Linked DNA regions of Caenorhabditis elegans. The protein of the gene in region 1 purifies or fractionates together with the protein of each later gene. This does not show direct contact. Each region holds a gene or a part of one and is shown in the gene's direction. Other genes may lie near its edges.

What was found. Proteins that work in one complex are often made in the same cells at the same time.
Region 2: the proteins of nxf-2 (region 1) and ref-1 purify together in Caenorhabditis elegans (affinity purification with western blotting; one study listed by BioGRID). This does not show direct contact.

What each region holds. Positions count from the first base shown.
Region 1 is NC_003283.11:14,413,069-14,420,776, reverse strand, and holds nxf-2 (Nuclear RNA export factor 2), read left to right. Parts: upstream 1-2,941; 5' UTR 2,942-2,981; coding exon 2,982-3,293; intron 3,294-3,340; coding exon 3,341-3,427; intron 3,428-3,475; coding exon 3,476-3,622; intron 3,623-3,672; coding exon 3,673-3,735; intron 3,736-3,781; coding exon 3,782-3,913; intron 3,914-3,964; coding exon 3,965-4,029; intron 4,030-4,075; coding exon 4,076-4,487; 3' UTR 4,488-4,630; downstream 4,631-7,708. Other genes in the region: dhs-22 (DeHydrogenases, Short chain), read left to right, coding at 1-326, 382-577; set-31 (SET domain-containing protein), read right to left, coding at 753-955, 1,002-1,173, 1,220-1,363, 1,410-1,527, 1,574-1,686, 1,735-2,028, 2,076-2,384, 2,523-2,681; C15H11.11 (Cytochrome b-c1 complex subunit 10), read right to left, coding at 4,631-4,769, 4,815-4,963; nxf-1 (Nuclear RNA export factor 1), read left to right, coding at 5,765-5,891, 5,940-6,331, 6,381-6,560, 6,611-6,697, 6,746-6,855, 6,962-6,998, 7,053-7,121, 7,178-7,371 and 1 more. UniProt on the Caenorhabditis elegans protein: Involved in the export of cellular mRNA to the cytoplasm. Plays a role in the nuclear retention of unspliced mRNAs.
Region 2 is NC_003280.10:10,214,666-10,222,289, forward strand, and holds ref-1 (Regulator of fusion ref-1), read left to right. Parts: upstream 1-3,805; 5' UTR 3,806-3,807; coding exon 3,808-3,950; intron 3,951-4,004; coding exon 4,005-4,460; intron 4,461-4,510; coding exon 4,511-4,673; intron 4,674-4,729; coding exon 4,730-5,071; 3' UTR 5,072-5,361; downstream 5,362-7,624. UniProt on the Caenorhabditis elegans protein: Probable transcription factor. Binds 5'-TGCCACGTGTCCA-3' in vitro, probably via the E-box motif 5'-CA[TC][AG]TG-3'.

The sequences.
Region 1 (7,708 bases):
TTTCTGCTCACCGAACTTTTTCTGCCAGCTGTTAAGAAGTCTTCCTACGCTCGAATCATCAATGTTTCATCTCGTATTCATTTGAAATCCGAGAAAATTAATTTGGCTACTGTAGATGACAAGAAATCGTTTGGAATGATGAAATCGTACAGACAGAGCAAGTTGGCAAATGTTATGCACGCAAGAGCCTTGACTAAGGAATTGAGAAAGGACGGAGCCGAACACGTGACTGTTAACTCCCTGCACCCAGGAGTTGTTAATACCGAGCTCGCGAGAAATACCATTTTGAATACACCAGGAATCAAGCAGATTACAGCTGTTTTCCGGTAAGCCAAGCCAAATTTCCACACTTAACCTTAAAATAAATAAAATTAATTTCAGTTGGTTCCTCATGAAAACCAGCCGCGACGGAGCTCAAACTTCAATCTTCCTTGCATTGGGCAAAAAGATCGGTGGAATCAGTGGAAAATACTTTGCCGATTGCAAGTTGACCCAAGAAAACCCACTAGCCTTGGATGATCAGGCCTGTCAGGATTTGTACAATTATAGCTTGGAATGTACTGGCCTCGCCAAGTAATGTGCCAGCGCAGCTACAATAATTTCTCTATTAAGAATTCATATCAATCCCATTGTAAACTTTAACAAAGGCTTTATATTCAAGTATTTAAAATTAAAATTTCATTGAATGAATAAATATGTAATACATAACAAAACGAAAAACAAAACTAGTTGAAAACATTTTACAGCGAGTTTCACTCGAGGAAATTACCATTTTTTATCTTCCAGATTTTTGGTGACTCTACCAGAGACATGCCATTGAACGTCGACGTCAGTTTCTCCTTCTCGGACTTCTTCTTCGCTGACTGGTCGATATATACAATCTCTCGGCACTTGTGCTCACATTTGCACTGCACGAAGTCGATATCCTTCTCGAGGAGATGGAAGAGTTTGCCGTCTGAATGAGGACATTTATCTAGGAAAACTAATTATCAAGAACGTACCTGGAGCAACAACCTTTGAGAAGTATTCCTCAACCTCTTTTTTGAAAGCCTTGAAATAATCAAGGGTGATCACATATCCATTGCCTTCGTCGAGGGGAAAACGTGAGTAAATCACGAGATCAGGAATGTCGTTTCCTGATTCAACCAAACGAACATTGCATGTTGGATTACACTGGATATCATCAAGTTATTAGAATAGTTAATTGAATAAAACTCACGCTGTGGGGAATGAATTTTGAGAAGTCATAGAACTCTCGACGATCGAGGCACAAATCTGTTCCTGGAATTTCGACGAAAGAACTGAATGCAACCTCTTTTCCTTCAGTTCGCAAAGATTCTCGAGCAACTTCGGCTGGTCGAATCTGAGATGAAATATTATACAATTACAATTACAGTTTTTAAAATTACCACTCCAGTCATGACCATCAGAGGAACATTGGGGAGACTGTACATAGCTGATAATATGTACCAGCCCGATCCGGGTTCCTGTCTCATTTCAAGTGGTATGGAGAATCTCGAGTTCACTCTAAATAAAAATAATTAAAATCTGAAACACTTTTCAAAACACATACGCCTTGTTGATTCTTCGCATTCCCTCGTACTTATTCTCATCAACCTCCTTCAGATATTTTGGCTGTTGTGATTCGTCTTTGGCAAAATACAACCGGTCGATGAATGGCCGAACCTGAAATTTGTGAATTTAAGAAACAGAAGAAACATAATAAATGCTCACATTGTTGAATCCAGCTTTTATACCCTTCCGAGGGAAAAAGTGAGGAAAATTTTCACGATTCTTATACATTTCTTCTGTAACTGGTTCAAACAAGATGTTTGGCAATGGAGGCGGAGGGAAGAGGACTGATTGCTTCTTAGTTGGGTAGAAGATCTTGACGAAAGGATAATCTTCGAAAATCTGTCTCTGATATTTCATCTCCTTGTCATACTGAATATGACTGCTGTTGACTCTATCAATTTGTGGAACGAGGAAGGAGTGTAGAAGATGCATCTGGTTATGCTCTTTGATGTACTGAAAATTCGATTTTAAACCAGTACGGGTAAATAGAAAATACTCACTTTCAAATACATAATCTTTGCTCCGATGTTGTCTCTCGTGACAAACTTGACCGAAGATCCGAAAACAGTGGCTTCCGCTACGATTGATAAAGGTATCAAAGTGTTCGTGAAAAATACTAAGTCACTAAGCGCGGTATCCAGATTTCGGAGGAAAAAGTCAAGATTCGTTACGTATGAAGATTTCAATGTCCTTGCAGCATACCCCATAAGCTTCTCGGTGCACACAAGTCGTCGTTCAGCTTCTTCCGTGTCACCACCATTCCAGTTCGTCCACTTGACTGTATATTGAATCTCCCGTCCTTCGATTCTCTGAGATATTGTAATTATGGTGGTTTGAAAACAATTTTCTTGGCAACTACCTTTTGAGTTACACGAACAAATCAAAATGTATTTGAATACAATTTTAAATTTCACAACATTACTTGAATAACCCTATAAGAAACACACCGAGCGAACGATATCTTGAACTTCATAAAATTCGGTGTCCACCTTGCCGGTATTTTGGGTGGAGATTTTGTCACATTTCCTTGACTTGGATGCATTCTTTTTGATCGCATTCTTGGACTTTCGCGATTTTGCTTTCTTTTTAATATCCTTCGTAGTCATTCGTGGTGCTTTTTTCTGCACTGCAGCCTGAAAGTTCGTTTACCGGTTTATTTGCTTTTTTTTTTCGATTTAAACATACCTATTTTTTCGCAAAAAAATTGAGGATTGATTTTTTAGCTAAAAAATAAAAAATAAATATTTGGGCTAAATTAAAAAATTTAGATGATTTCTGCAAAGGATGAGGAGGTCTCGCATGGATTGACACACCTTGCGACTACGGTAGCTGTAGATTTACGAAGTGATTTTCTTGTCTTCAAATCGACTTCAATTTTTCAAACTAAATGCTCACTTTTTAAGATTATGCGTGGACAAAATCGGCGAGGCTATCGGAATATCGAAGGACGGCTCAGCCTTTCATCCCATTCATCGCATTCTTCACCACGCCAGACACATGTCACAAACTTGAGGCCAGCTGAAATCAAGGTTGTCCAAGATGTCGTGGATGGGTGTTATGTTGCGACTGACGATGTTCTTAACCTGTCGAACTTTTCAAAAAACACAGAATTTGTCGAAAGGGACATGTTGATGTGCCTCACGAAGACAAGAGTGATGTCGGTAGTTCTACAGCATATTGGGTACAAATATCCTCGCATTTCCGGAATCTCATTCTCGGTTTAGATTAATTTGTGAAAAAATAATTAATTCCATGTAATTTTCAGAATAATCGGCTCTGTCACTTGGACCATCTCTCCTCTCTCTCGAGCATATCCAAGTTTCTAAAATTCCTCGACTTGAGTCATAATCAGGTTTTAAAAGTTTTTGTATTCTTAAATTTCATAACTTTTTTTTCTAAGATTTCGTCAGGAGAAGAATTGAAGAAGTTAGGAACGATTCCAGTAGAAACTGTGTTTTTCGAGGGAAATCCAGTCTGCGAGAAGTTTGTGCAATGTGCCGAGTATGCCAACTTTATTCAAAAGACATTCCCAAAATGTTCAAATTTGGTAATTCACGAATATCCTAACAATTATTTCAATTTCTATCTAAATTGTAGGATGGAATGGAAGTCGAACCAAAACCAGATCACAATAGAATCGAGCAGATAATTCCATTCAGGGTGATACAGTATATTTCTACATTCCCGAATCATCTAATTATTTTAGAATGGATACTATGGCAGTGATGAAGTTCGTACTCTTGTCGAAGAATTTATCATCACATATTACAAAATCTACGATGGCGCAGATGGACAGCAGACAAGGAAGCAACTTCTGGATGCGTACGACACAAATAACGTGCTGATTCTTGCATTTTTTCAGTAGTAAATATAAACATATATTTTTCAGTCAACATTCACGCATACAGTTGTCTGCTTGTGGGACCCAATTAAATTTGTCATGTATCCGGACAGGTACCGTCTGAAGTCTTAAGGTTTTAATAATTATTTATATTTCAAGTGAGAGCTATCGAATGTACCTGAGAACTTCGCACAATGTTCTGAATCAGGAATATTTTGCCGCAAATCGGGCCTCCAGAATATCACACGGTGCAATGGATATCGTAGTTGCACTTTCGAGACTTCCTGCCACAATTCATCTGATGGATACATTCGTAGTTGACGTGTTCCTTGTTTCGGCAACACTTCTCGGATTCACATTACATGGAACATTTCGTGACGGACCATCTGCGATAAAGCCCGAGAACACTGAGGAACATGATAATTATTTTACGAGAACATTCATGGTTGCTCCAAGAGGCGAAGGAAAAGTCGCCATTGTTTCCGATCAGCTGTTCATTAGCTCGATGTCAAAAAGACGCGGCGATCAGTACCGCATGCTAGTGGAGACAGCAACGGACATTGACCAGTGAAAATTATATATTTTCATACATTTAAACGGCATCCTATTTGTATTTTTATGTCTAGTTTCGGATCATATCTTGTTACCAACACCTAGCATGTTTTTTTTTGTCTCAACATTTTACAGTTATTTGTTAATCTTCATTTTTAAAAATTATTTGTATGGAACAATGTCTAATCGGTCTTTGTAGCTATCAATTTTCAAATTGACCTGATCAAAAGTGGCAGCACCAAACCAAGCAGCTGCGAATCCAATTGAAGCACTCGCTAGGTAGATCGCGATGATTCTTTTTCTGAAACAATTCCATTTTCAAGAGACTTTTCGTGGAAATACCTACCCCGGTTTCCTCAAACCGGGAAATACGGGAACACGGGAGAATGTGAATTCGGCTGAAGTTCCGATGTCTGGCAACATCTTCCGACGTTCAAAACGCGTCGGAATAGGCGCAATATTGTCAAGACGCGAATCAGGGGTGTACTTCTTCATATTCTTTTAGTTGTAAGAACAATGGAGAGAGACGGATGTTTTGGAAATTGTTGGCTGCGAAGATGGGAAAAGAGTGGTGAGCAAACAAAAATTACGGGGAACAAAACGTTTTCTCGTATTTTTACTGCTATCTATATAGCCACTGAATTTGCAGAAATATGTATATTTTGTTGACAGGTGACAGTGAAATATTGAAAATTTACTCATATATTACAGTAGTATCTTTTTGCGGTTACTGTAGTCGGCGAAATTGAAAATCACTGTTCAACGATTAATATTTTGCATGATCGATTTTTATCATGCCTCTTAAGTGTTACTATCATTCTAACCGAGAATTCACGTCATTTTCTGACTCGCATGAAACATGTTTGCCTAAAACATTTTTTATTCTTGTTTATGTCGTCAAATTGGGGGCTCGTCTGCATTTTTGCGTAACGGTGTTTGCACAACCGATAAAAGTCACGAGATTTTTTTTTGCATAAATATGATTCAGTTTCACCAATTTTCGAATTGCCGTTCTTTGCTTAGTGTTCCAAATGTGAAATTATAGTTTTAAAATCTGATTCATTGAGTTTTCTGATTTCCGCAAAACTAAATTATCTCCCGGCTGGAATGAGGCAGCCGTCCCAGTTTCGCAACACTTTCGAAATGAGTAAAAATTTAACTTTTCCTTGTCTATTATAACTTTTCATGTTCAATATTGCTTTCTCTTGAATATCATATTTATTTGTGTTTCACCTACACCTTTAATTTAATTTTTCGATACCAGTTTTCCCTCGATGAAATACAAATCTTTCAGATATGAATCGCAAAGGGTTTGGAGGGCATCGTGACGCGAAGCAATTGTCACGTACAAAGAATCGTTTTGCTCGACTTGACCCAGACACTCAAAGCAGATATGAAGACGACGACGAGCCTGCCGTTCCAGGTAACGCTTAGATTTATTCATATCCTTGCCAACTTATTTTTGTTTCAGTTCGTGCAAGCCTTACTTCTGCCAGTAGCCGTGGTCGTGGAGGATCATCACGCGGTTTCGGACAATCGGCTGCATCCATCGCCAACACTGGAGTTCGTAATGCTGACATCGTCTACAAGTGCCGTGCTACTGGAGCTGCCAAGAAAGTTGATGCCAAGTGGCTGATCAAGCAGCTTAATCAAATAATCGAAAATTTCAAGCCACTTCTCTGGACTGATAACGCCCGTGGAGACTTTGAATGGTACGTCCGCGACGAGGACACTGCTTCAACTATCCGAGCCAATAATCGTCGTGTTGTCCACAAAGAAAGTGGCACACGCGTTGAGTTTTACACTTCCAAAGTTCCAGCCCCATGGATGAAACTGAAACGAGAGGAAATTGAGATCATTCATGTAAGCCTCAAAATTTATTTGTCAGGTAATCATTACAAACATTTTTCAGAGAGTAGTCGACAAACGTCACAACGCCGAGAATCGAGTATTGGATTTATCAAACTTCCACGAAGACGAAGAGTTCAAGGCAAAGGATATGATGATGAATTTGACGAAAGGAAATGTCATGCTCACAGTTCTCGATCACATTGATGATAAGTACGGAAACATTGTGGCTTTGTCGTTATCAGTGAGTCATGCTCTTAATATTCTCTATAAAAGTAATTTTTATCATTTCAGAACAATCGCATCCGTCATTTGGACTACGCTTCAGCTCTCGTGTCAATCGCTAAGTTCGTTATGGAGTTGGATTTGAGTCACAACCACGTTAGTTCAATAGATCTAGCTATTTTTTATTCAACTTTTGATTTACAGATTTCCACTGAAAAGGAGTTAGAGAAATTCGCCGGATTGCCAGTCGAAAGATTCTTCTTTGAAGGAAACCCAGTCGTCGAGTCATTCACACAGAGGGCAGCATATATCAGGTTACATTATCTGAATGATTTTCAGATTTTTTATTTAAATTTCATTGTGTTTTCCTCCTTGTTCCCTATTTTATTATGTTCATTAACCCCAAACCTACCACTTCAGCTATATTCATCAATCATTCCCGCGATGCAACATGCTGGTAAGTTATTTAACATTGAGCCAAGTTCGCATCTCGGAATGAAACTACTTTCAGGACGGAGTCGAAGTGCAGCCGCTGGTTGTTGGACCGGATCTCGATATTCATGACGCAATGCCATTCAGAGTAAGTTCCTGCGGATTTAAATCTCCCTAGAACCTTCGTTATTCTAATATTTTTAGGCTGGATATTACCCAAATCCACAGATCCGAGTTCTTGTCGAGCAATTTGTGACTTCATACTTTGATTTCTACGATGGACCGGATGGCCAGAGAACTAGAAGAAATCTCCACAATGCGTACGACGCTGATGCTTCAACATTCTCGTTGACAATCGAACATTTGCGTGGATCTTCTCATGCACGACACCACAATGAGTAAGGATATTTTAAAATGCACAATATTATTATATTTATTGATTTTCAGCGAGTGCTTTGCACAATACGCTGGTGTATCACACAACGTGCTGAAACAGGAGCGATTCGCTCGTCATAGAGCTTCTCGTTCAGCGCGTGGAGCCATGGATATTGCAGTTGCTCTCTCAAAACTGCCAACATCTAGCCATATGAGGGACACATTTATTGTCGACGTTTTTCTCCAATCAAATGATCTTCTCGGATTCACAGTTCAAGGACTATTCTGCGATGGTGATCTTACACAGACCCCTTCACCCAGTTTCTTCAGCAGATCATTTTTGGTGTCTCCGAGAGAGAA
Region 2 (7,624 bases), on another chromosome or scaffold:
GTGTGTAGAGTGGTGAGAGATCGGGGGATATGAAGAGGTTGGGGATGTGAGAGGGCTTGGAGAGTTATCGCGCACTATTGGCTCTGATCTCGCCGACGACAACACTGATATCTTACAAAACACAAAACAACGAGGATTTTAGTGAATTGGATGATTGGTGGAGTTTATGAAGCTAGGAGGCGACTAATTGCCCTAGATAATGGCTTATAACTGTTCCAAATTTTATACCATAAAAATATACTTCTCTGGAAAGTTATGCATAGTCATAGTCTTCCACGTTCTTTATTTCCTAGTTTATATGGATACTCAGCATTTGAATATACACAGCTCTGCTGATTTTACAATTTATTGTTTAAATTGAGTATACTCAATTGCCTCCAAGTATACTGCACATGTCTACCATAGGAACCAGGGCGGCCACAAAATTACCGTATATTCTAGTGGAGTAGCACCCGAGTTGTCAATTTTAACAATTTTCAATGGAACAAACGGCAACTGAAATATAAGCTGTCAAAGTTGAACAAGTGGGGTAGAACACTATATTTGACCAGAAATTTTAAAAAAGTTATTTATTTTTCTATTAACCAAAAGTAAACATTTTTGAACACAGTTCTTTGTTATTTTTTTTAGAAAAACAAACCAAGAAATCTATTTTTGTCAAAAAAACAACTTTCCCACCTCTCTCATCCAAAACTTGCTACCTAATTACAGCGATTCTACCCTTGCATAAACCATAATTATTTACTCTGATATCAAGATCAGATAAAGTACAATATTCACCGGAACAAGAATTTCCCATGAGCCCAGCATGCTCATTTAGGTACTTGACTCAAGATGGTGCAATGTTCCCACATTACAATTTAGAAGGGACATGCATATCTAAAGATGCCGACGAGATTACTTGTACAATTATAGTAAGAACATGTACTGATGGTACAAGATGTAGAGTGTGAAAAATTGTCTGGATTACTGTAGTTTTGAAGATTACTGTACTAGATACTGTACTTAGATAAAAGTTTATTTTTGTGAATTTGAAGTGCGTAGAGTTTTCCAAGCAACCTTTCGAATGGGGCAATTCTAACCAAAAAATATCCCAAATCTTGAAGTTTTATATGCACTCCAAATAGTAGTTACCGTATTTCCTCTATTAGTACTGCACCCCATTATTTTACTTTGAAAAGGTAGAAAAAGAAATAACAAATATTTTGGTAGGGACAATTTTGTATAGTTGAACAATGGGTTGCAATACTGGTAGAGGAAATACAGTAAGTTAACTGGATGTTCTAATCTGCTTTTTGGCTCTGTTAGCAATTTACAATGAGCTAAAGAATGTTTGTCTGAAAATGTAGTTTTACTTGAAATCCCCGTTTCTACGTGTAGAAAATGCAAGAATTACTCAACAATGTAAGTAAACTGGTTTTATTTAAACATCTAAAAAATTCGTTACATCTCACTTTTTTTCATATTCAAATGTAATCATTGATTCTTGTTGTTGTTCTAGATCTAGAAAAACTGGGTCATCATGCAAATCATAAACATGCATACCATAAAATCGGTATACCTAGAAGGTATACCCAAATGTTTACAACTCATGATGATATAGTGCATCTCCACCTTGTGCACCTCCATATGCATTCAGATGTTTACAGACTATCATAAAAGTCTCCAGCACGCCGTTTATGATATTGTTTACCAGAATGCACGTAGATATTCCAGATTATTTGAATATTTCTAGATTTGAAATATACCAAAAATTTCCCAGGGTCCCCCATCTCCAGAATCACAGCCGGAAGTCGGTCTCAATTTCGCACCACAGTGTCAAAATATAATACCGAAAAAACCTTGCTAATTGTCGTGAGAACCTAGTGTAAATATAACAACAATATGGTATTTTATAGGAGGGAAATTGAAAATATAAGTACATAGAAATAATGTTGAAATTCTCAGGACCACGCGTGTCAGATGGCTGGGAACGGTGTATGTACCAAATTAGCGCGCAATGGGAAATCTGCAATATTCTCACAGTTGTGGAAGGTCATGGAGTGTCAGGTTTAGATGGGATCTATGAAAACGATATTGAAGATAAAAATAACATTGAAATCCATTATGTTCCTTATTTGTTTCATACTCGGTGTTTTCTAACTTTCGCCTAAAACATACACATATAATTGGTTGAAAAGTTGGAAAATTCCAGAAAACGTATTTTCTGTAATTTTAAACCTGAGTTGTATTAGGCTTGTTTAAGACGAGAAATAAATTGGCGGTAAATGCCAAATAGACAGTTGTGTTCTGAAAAAACAAGCCTTACAGACTTGAATAAAGTTCTAACCATGTCATAGAGCGTGCGCAGGCCCTACCGTAGAAAACAAAACATTCTACTATTTTGATCTCTGTAAAAGTTGATCTCCTAGAACTTAAATGAAACCAACTTTGTTACGTTGAGTTTGTAGATCGTAAGTATAAAATGTTTGTCGATGCAACCTTGAATATTTTTTTTTAATGTAGGAAATTTTTAGGGTACATTCACTACGCAAGTACCTATTTTTGTCTTCCAATAATTGCCAACGTATTCAAATTTAAAAGAACTCATATCATTATCATCTATCAAAATTCAACTCTCTAACCTATATCTTCCCACAGTCTCACTAGTTCTCTCATCTTCACGTGCCCCTATATTCCCACCACTTCCGTTATACCCCTCTCTCCCTGCACCTTTCCCATGGTTGCCTGCCAGCCAAAGGAGGCGTGGCCTATGCACATCCAACGAGACGGTCCCCGCCTCTAGACGCGTCCGGTTGCAATTAGTCAACAAGTGGGGGCTATCAGAATTTACTTTCATTCATACATCTTCTTCTCATTTTTTTGTTTGTTTTTTAGTTCCAGTATTTACTTTAGCTGTTTTGAGATTTTGAGAAGTGTATTTAGTATACATTCCTAATTATTTTTTGCCCTAAATTCTTTAGAGTCTTACAGTAGCAAATCTACAGTAGTCTATAGCTATGGTTAAGAGTTTCAGCTACAGTAGCAACATAGTTCTACCTCACCAGAAATAGTATTGCTACTGTAGCGCTTCCAATTTCTAGTTTTCCTTAAATTAACCAATTCTCACTTCATTTTAACATTCTTCCCCCGAATTCTCTATGTCTCACCTCACTATCAGTCTTCCAAATTTTCACCTCAAGTACAGTACATCTGAAACTCTAACACCTCCCCATGCATTTTACTGCCTGTAGATCCCTCTTGTTTACCAACTTCTTTCATGTTCTTCCGGTCTGCCGTTTCACTTCCTTTTCTCACCTTGTCGGACCCCTAGCTCTCCATTAAAGGATTAGTACCGCCTGAGCATCCGCCCGGCTCTTCACAGTGTCGCCTCTCACCAGGGGTTATCAAACCAATATGGTCAAGAGTTGTGGGAAACTGTGTCATGACTCAAGTGCTTTTTTCCCATGCACACTTATCAAATGATTCCCACACTGATAACTCGGCACGTCTTTTGTGGTTGATAGTGATGGGAACCATTGGGATATAATTTTTTTTGGCGAAACGACACAAAAAGTGGGTTTTTAGGGTTTAAGGCAATTAAATTTCTACGAATAAGATTCTAATCTAGAAAAAGAAGGCGTGCTGTAGAAGTGAGGGGTACTGTAAATCGCCACGCTCCCTCTTCCGAATGGTTTATGACTTTTCTCTATATCTCCTTCTCTTTCTCTATATTTCTCAAATTCCGCAACATTTCTCCCTTCTTGATTTTGTTCATTTACAAATCGAGCTATAAAAATCAATAAAAACTTAATTTTTTTTCCAGAAATGGTCCTCATCAGTACCCCACCACCAGCTTACGCTCATAACAGAAAAACATCACAGGAGAAGAAACGACGAGATGAGATTAATGCAAAGATCAAGGAGCTTCAACTATTGATTCAAAATGAATCGGATAATGAGAAAATGACGTGAGTTTTCTATTCGTTTAGTGTTATCTTCATTCAAATCTTACTAATTTTCAGCCAAGGTGATGTCTTAAACCGTGCAGTCGAAGTGGTCAGTCGCATGGAAACCGAATCACCTGGACCATCATCAAATCCAAATCGCAAAGGATTCTTTGACGGATTCCGATCAATCGAGTCGCTCACTTATTCCTTCATCAAATCCCTGGGCGTCAATTCAGATGTCTGTCAGGATTTTGTGCAACGTGCCAAGCAGTTTTTCGATCGAGAACGTTCATCTTTGCTGAGCACTGTATCTGGAAAATCAAAGAGAAGATCTGAGTCGGAAATTCTCCACTCTTCAATGAGCTATAGATCCCAGTCAAGCTCTCCATCGACATCGGAATCTGGAATCACAATTGATAGAAAGGAAGTGAAAAAGAATAGAGAGCAAGATAGAAGAGATCGTCAGGGAGAAGCTTTTGATGCTTTGAAGAACTTTATCATTGAGAACAAGCTCATGACATCTCATCAAGTGTAAGCTTAAATTTTCCCAATACCATAAATTAAACTTTTCCTTTTTTCAGCGAAAAAATGCAACGCTTGAACACCCTGGATATCATAATTGCCTACATTCAAAACAAGAAGCACAATTTTGTTAGTCGAAGCGACCAGGAGCAGTCACTCTATGCACATGCAATTGCAGAGGGAAAGAAGACTGCAAAAAACATTGCCTTCCAATTTTTCAAGGTGAGTTGTCAGGAACTTCGAGAAGATTTTTTTAAATGTTATCAATATATTTTCAGAGCGACCGTCACCTCGTTGTCCGATGCGCAGACCTTGAAAAGTTCTTCGAATTCTCCTTATCACCAAAGCCACTCTTTGGATTCCCATCCATGCCCATCCCAATTCCACCACCATCATTCCCAATCTTCCCATTCCGGCCATTCCCATTCTTCCCAATGCCAATGGCACCAATGGCAACAAGTCCAAAATCTCAACAGTCTCCATCATATTCACTGGATTCTCCACCACCATCATCCGATACTTCTTCGTCATCAATCGAAACACCATCCACTCCAAATGAGAACTCGAATTCCAATCCTAAAGCTTCAAGAAAGAGTAAGCTGTTCAGACCATGGGAATAACTTTTCTAAAAAATATATCTCCTTTAATTGTAATTTAGTGTTAAAAGTATATATTCTTATTAATAATTTATCAACCTCAAAATGTTATCGACTTTTTCAACTTATCATATCATTATCATCTCACAACCAAAATCTAGTTTTATTGTCACGGGCTATTAAGCTTACCGGTAGGTTTTATAAATCCTTAATTGTTGTTTTCCCTCAGTATTCATAATATTTATATTGAATTTTCCGATTTTCAGTGATTTTGAAGATTAAATGACTGCAGAATAAAGTATTTATTATCTCTATTATAGTGTTGTATTCTGGTACCTTGTTTCCCATGGCAATTGGTTGCTCATTGCCACGTGTCTCGATAGAATGATGTGACAGTTTTTATTCTCCCACCACCTTGTTCCAGACAGACGACTAATTAGTGTTTTAGTGGGAAATGGTTAATACAATGATACTTCTAATTCAGAGGGTTTAAATCCACAAGGAAAGTATTTCCGCTCTAAATTGAACTTCCGAATGTAACCTAGCTATTTTTTTCTTTGTAAAGTTGATGCCTTTTGAAAAAAACATGTTGAACATTTTGCAGATTTTTTTCAACATATAACATTTTTCGAAATGGCTTCCGGATGATAATCTAACCCTAAACACCCTGAAGCATTAAAAATCTCCATTAAAGTGAATGCATTTTGAATTTAAAGCTGAGTTTGAAATGTAAACCTTTTTTGTGATAAACAAATATTTTCGAATTCCTCAAAAGTTCAAATAAGAATTGCCGATCTTTGAGGTTTCTCTGTTGTTTCCTGCGAATTGTCATCTCGCCGATTATTTGGCCGTTCAGTATTTAGAAACAGTACATTTTAGCCTGGTGTGCCCCCGATACAAACTTCCTTTGTCATCTTTTCTCATGCAATATTTTCCAGAAAAGTTTTGTATAAAAATGCACTGATGCTGGAAACTCAATTTTTGCCACAATTTTTTCCCGAAACTTTTCGCATCTTACTTATAAATATTTGTACTTTAGTTTAGTAAGTTGACATTTACAAATCAAAAGTGCGTAAAACTTTTTTAATGCGGAAACCCAGAGAAAAAGTGTGTTCGGACTGTTGAGGCGATTGTCTCGAAGTTGTTGGCGAACCCGAACCGGTCCGCTTTGTTTGTCTCTCAAAACCTCTTCATTTTCTTTTATCTATCATATTTCACCTATGTTCTATACACCCATTCACCCCCATTTTATGTATGTGAAAAAATGAAAATTTGCATCTGAATTCAGAATATTTTTGTCGTTTTTTATAAGCATTCCTTTTAGGTGTCAATTTTAACATCTCCAAGGAAAATGGTTTCGAGTTTTTTAAAAATTTATATTTAGAAAGTCTGATAACAATACTTTATTTTAGGATTAATGTTAAGATCCGAAATTTTTTCATAAATGTATGGCTTCTTCCGCAAATGCAAAACAATTGACACGACTCTAAAAGTTTTCTTTTTTTTCTGTGATTTATATGTGATGTAATTTTTCTGTGACTTTGTTGCATATACATATGTAGAGTTTAAAATAATTTTCTAAAAAATCAATCTTGACAATTTTTCACTTATATGTCTAAAATTTTTTTGTAAATTTAATTGGGTAAGTTTATCTATGATACTATAATTTTTAAAAAATCGGGTTACAATAAAATGTATCACAGCTTTCGTTTTTCATTAGCAAATACTTTGGAATAGTTATAGAAAACTTTTAAATGATCATAAATGTCTTCAAAGTAAATAAATACAAATATTGAAGCGTCTTCATTCCAATGGAATGAACAAATTGAAAATCCGATAAAGATTTAATTGAAAAATATTGGAAATGCTCCTCTTCTTCTTTTTCACATTCACATCGTCCATTTCTCTTCAATCAACCAAAGCGATTCGAATTTTGTTGAAACAATATTCTTTTGCTCTTTCTCTTTCTCTTCCAGTTTCCAGCCCTTTTCATTCAATTCTCTTTTCTATGTGTGAAGCACCAAAAGCACAAAACTCGAGGAGCATTTTTCTTTATCAAAAAGGAATTGTGAAAATTTCCCAATTTAGTCTGAATTATTTTTCCACACACCGTTATCGAATTGTGCTCCTCGCCGTGGCTAGTATGACGTTATCATACTGTCATTAGGTCATATGTATTATATTTCACACTTTTACTTTATTGTGCTCCTTTTTTCTTGAAATGTCATTCTTTTTTCTTGCAGTTGTAGAATTTCCGGAAACTTTTTTTTCTGAAAATATAGGAATAGGGAGTTGATTGGGTTATTGGAGCTCGAATTAAACTGAGGGTAAATAAGTTTTTAGGAAATAATTTTGAAGGGCTGTGGTGCTTTTGTCAAAATATACGCGATTTTTTAAAAACCAAATATGAAAAAAAAAATTTCAGTCACGGTTTTGGCAAATTTTCAAAATTTTGAAAAGTGTGATTAGTTGAGATATTTCAACTATCCTTGCACATTTGAGCCAATCTTTAGCACAAAGAATTAAAGCATAAAACACATTTTTGCCGGCTTTCAAAATTTTGATAGATAAATAGTA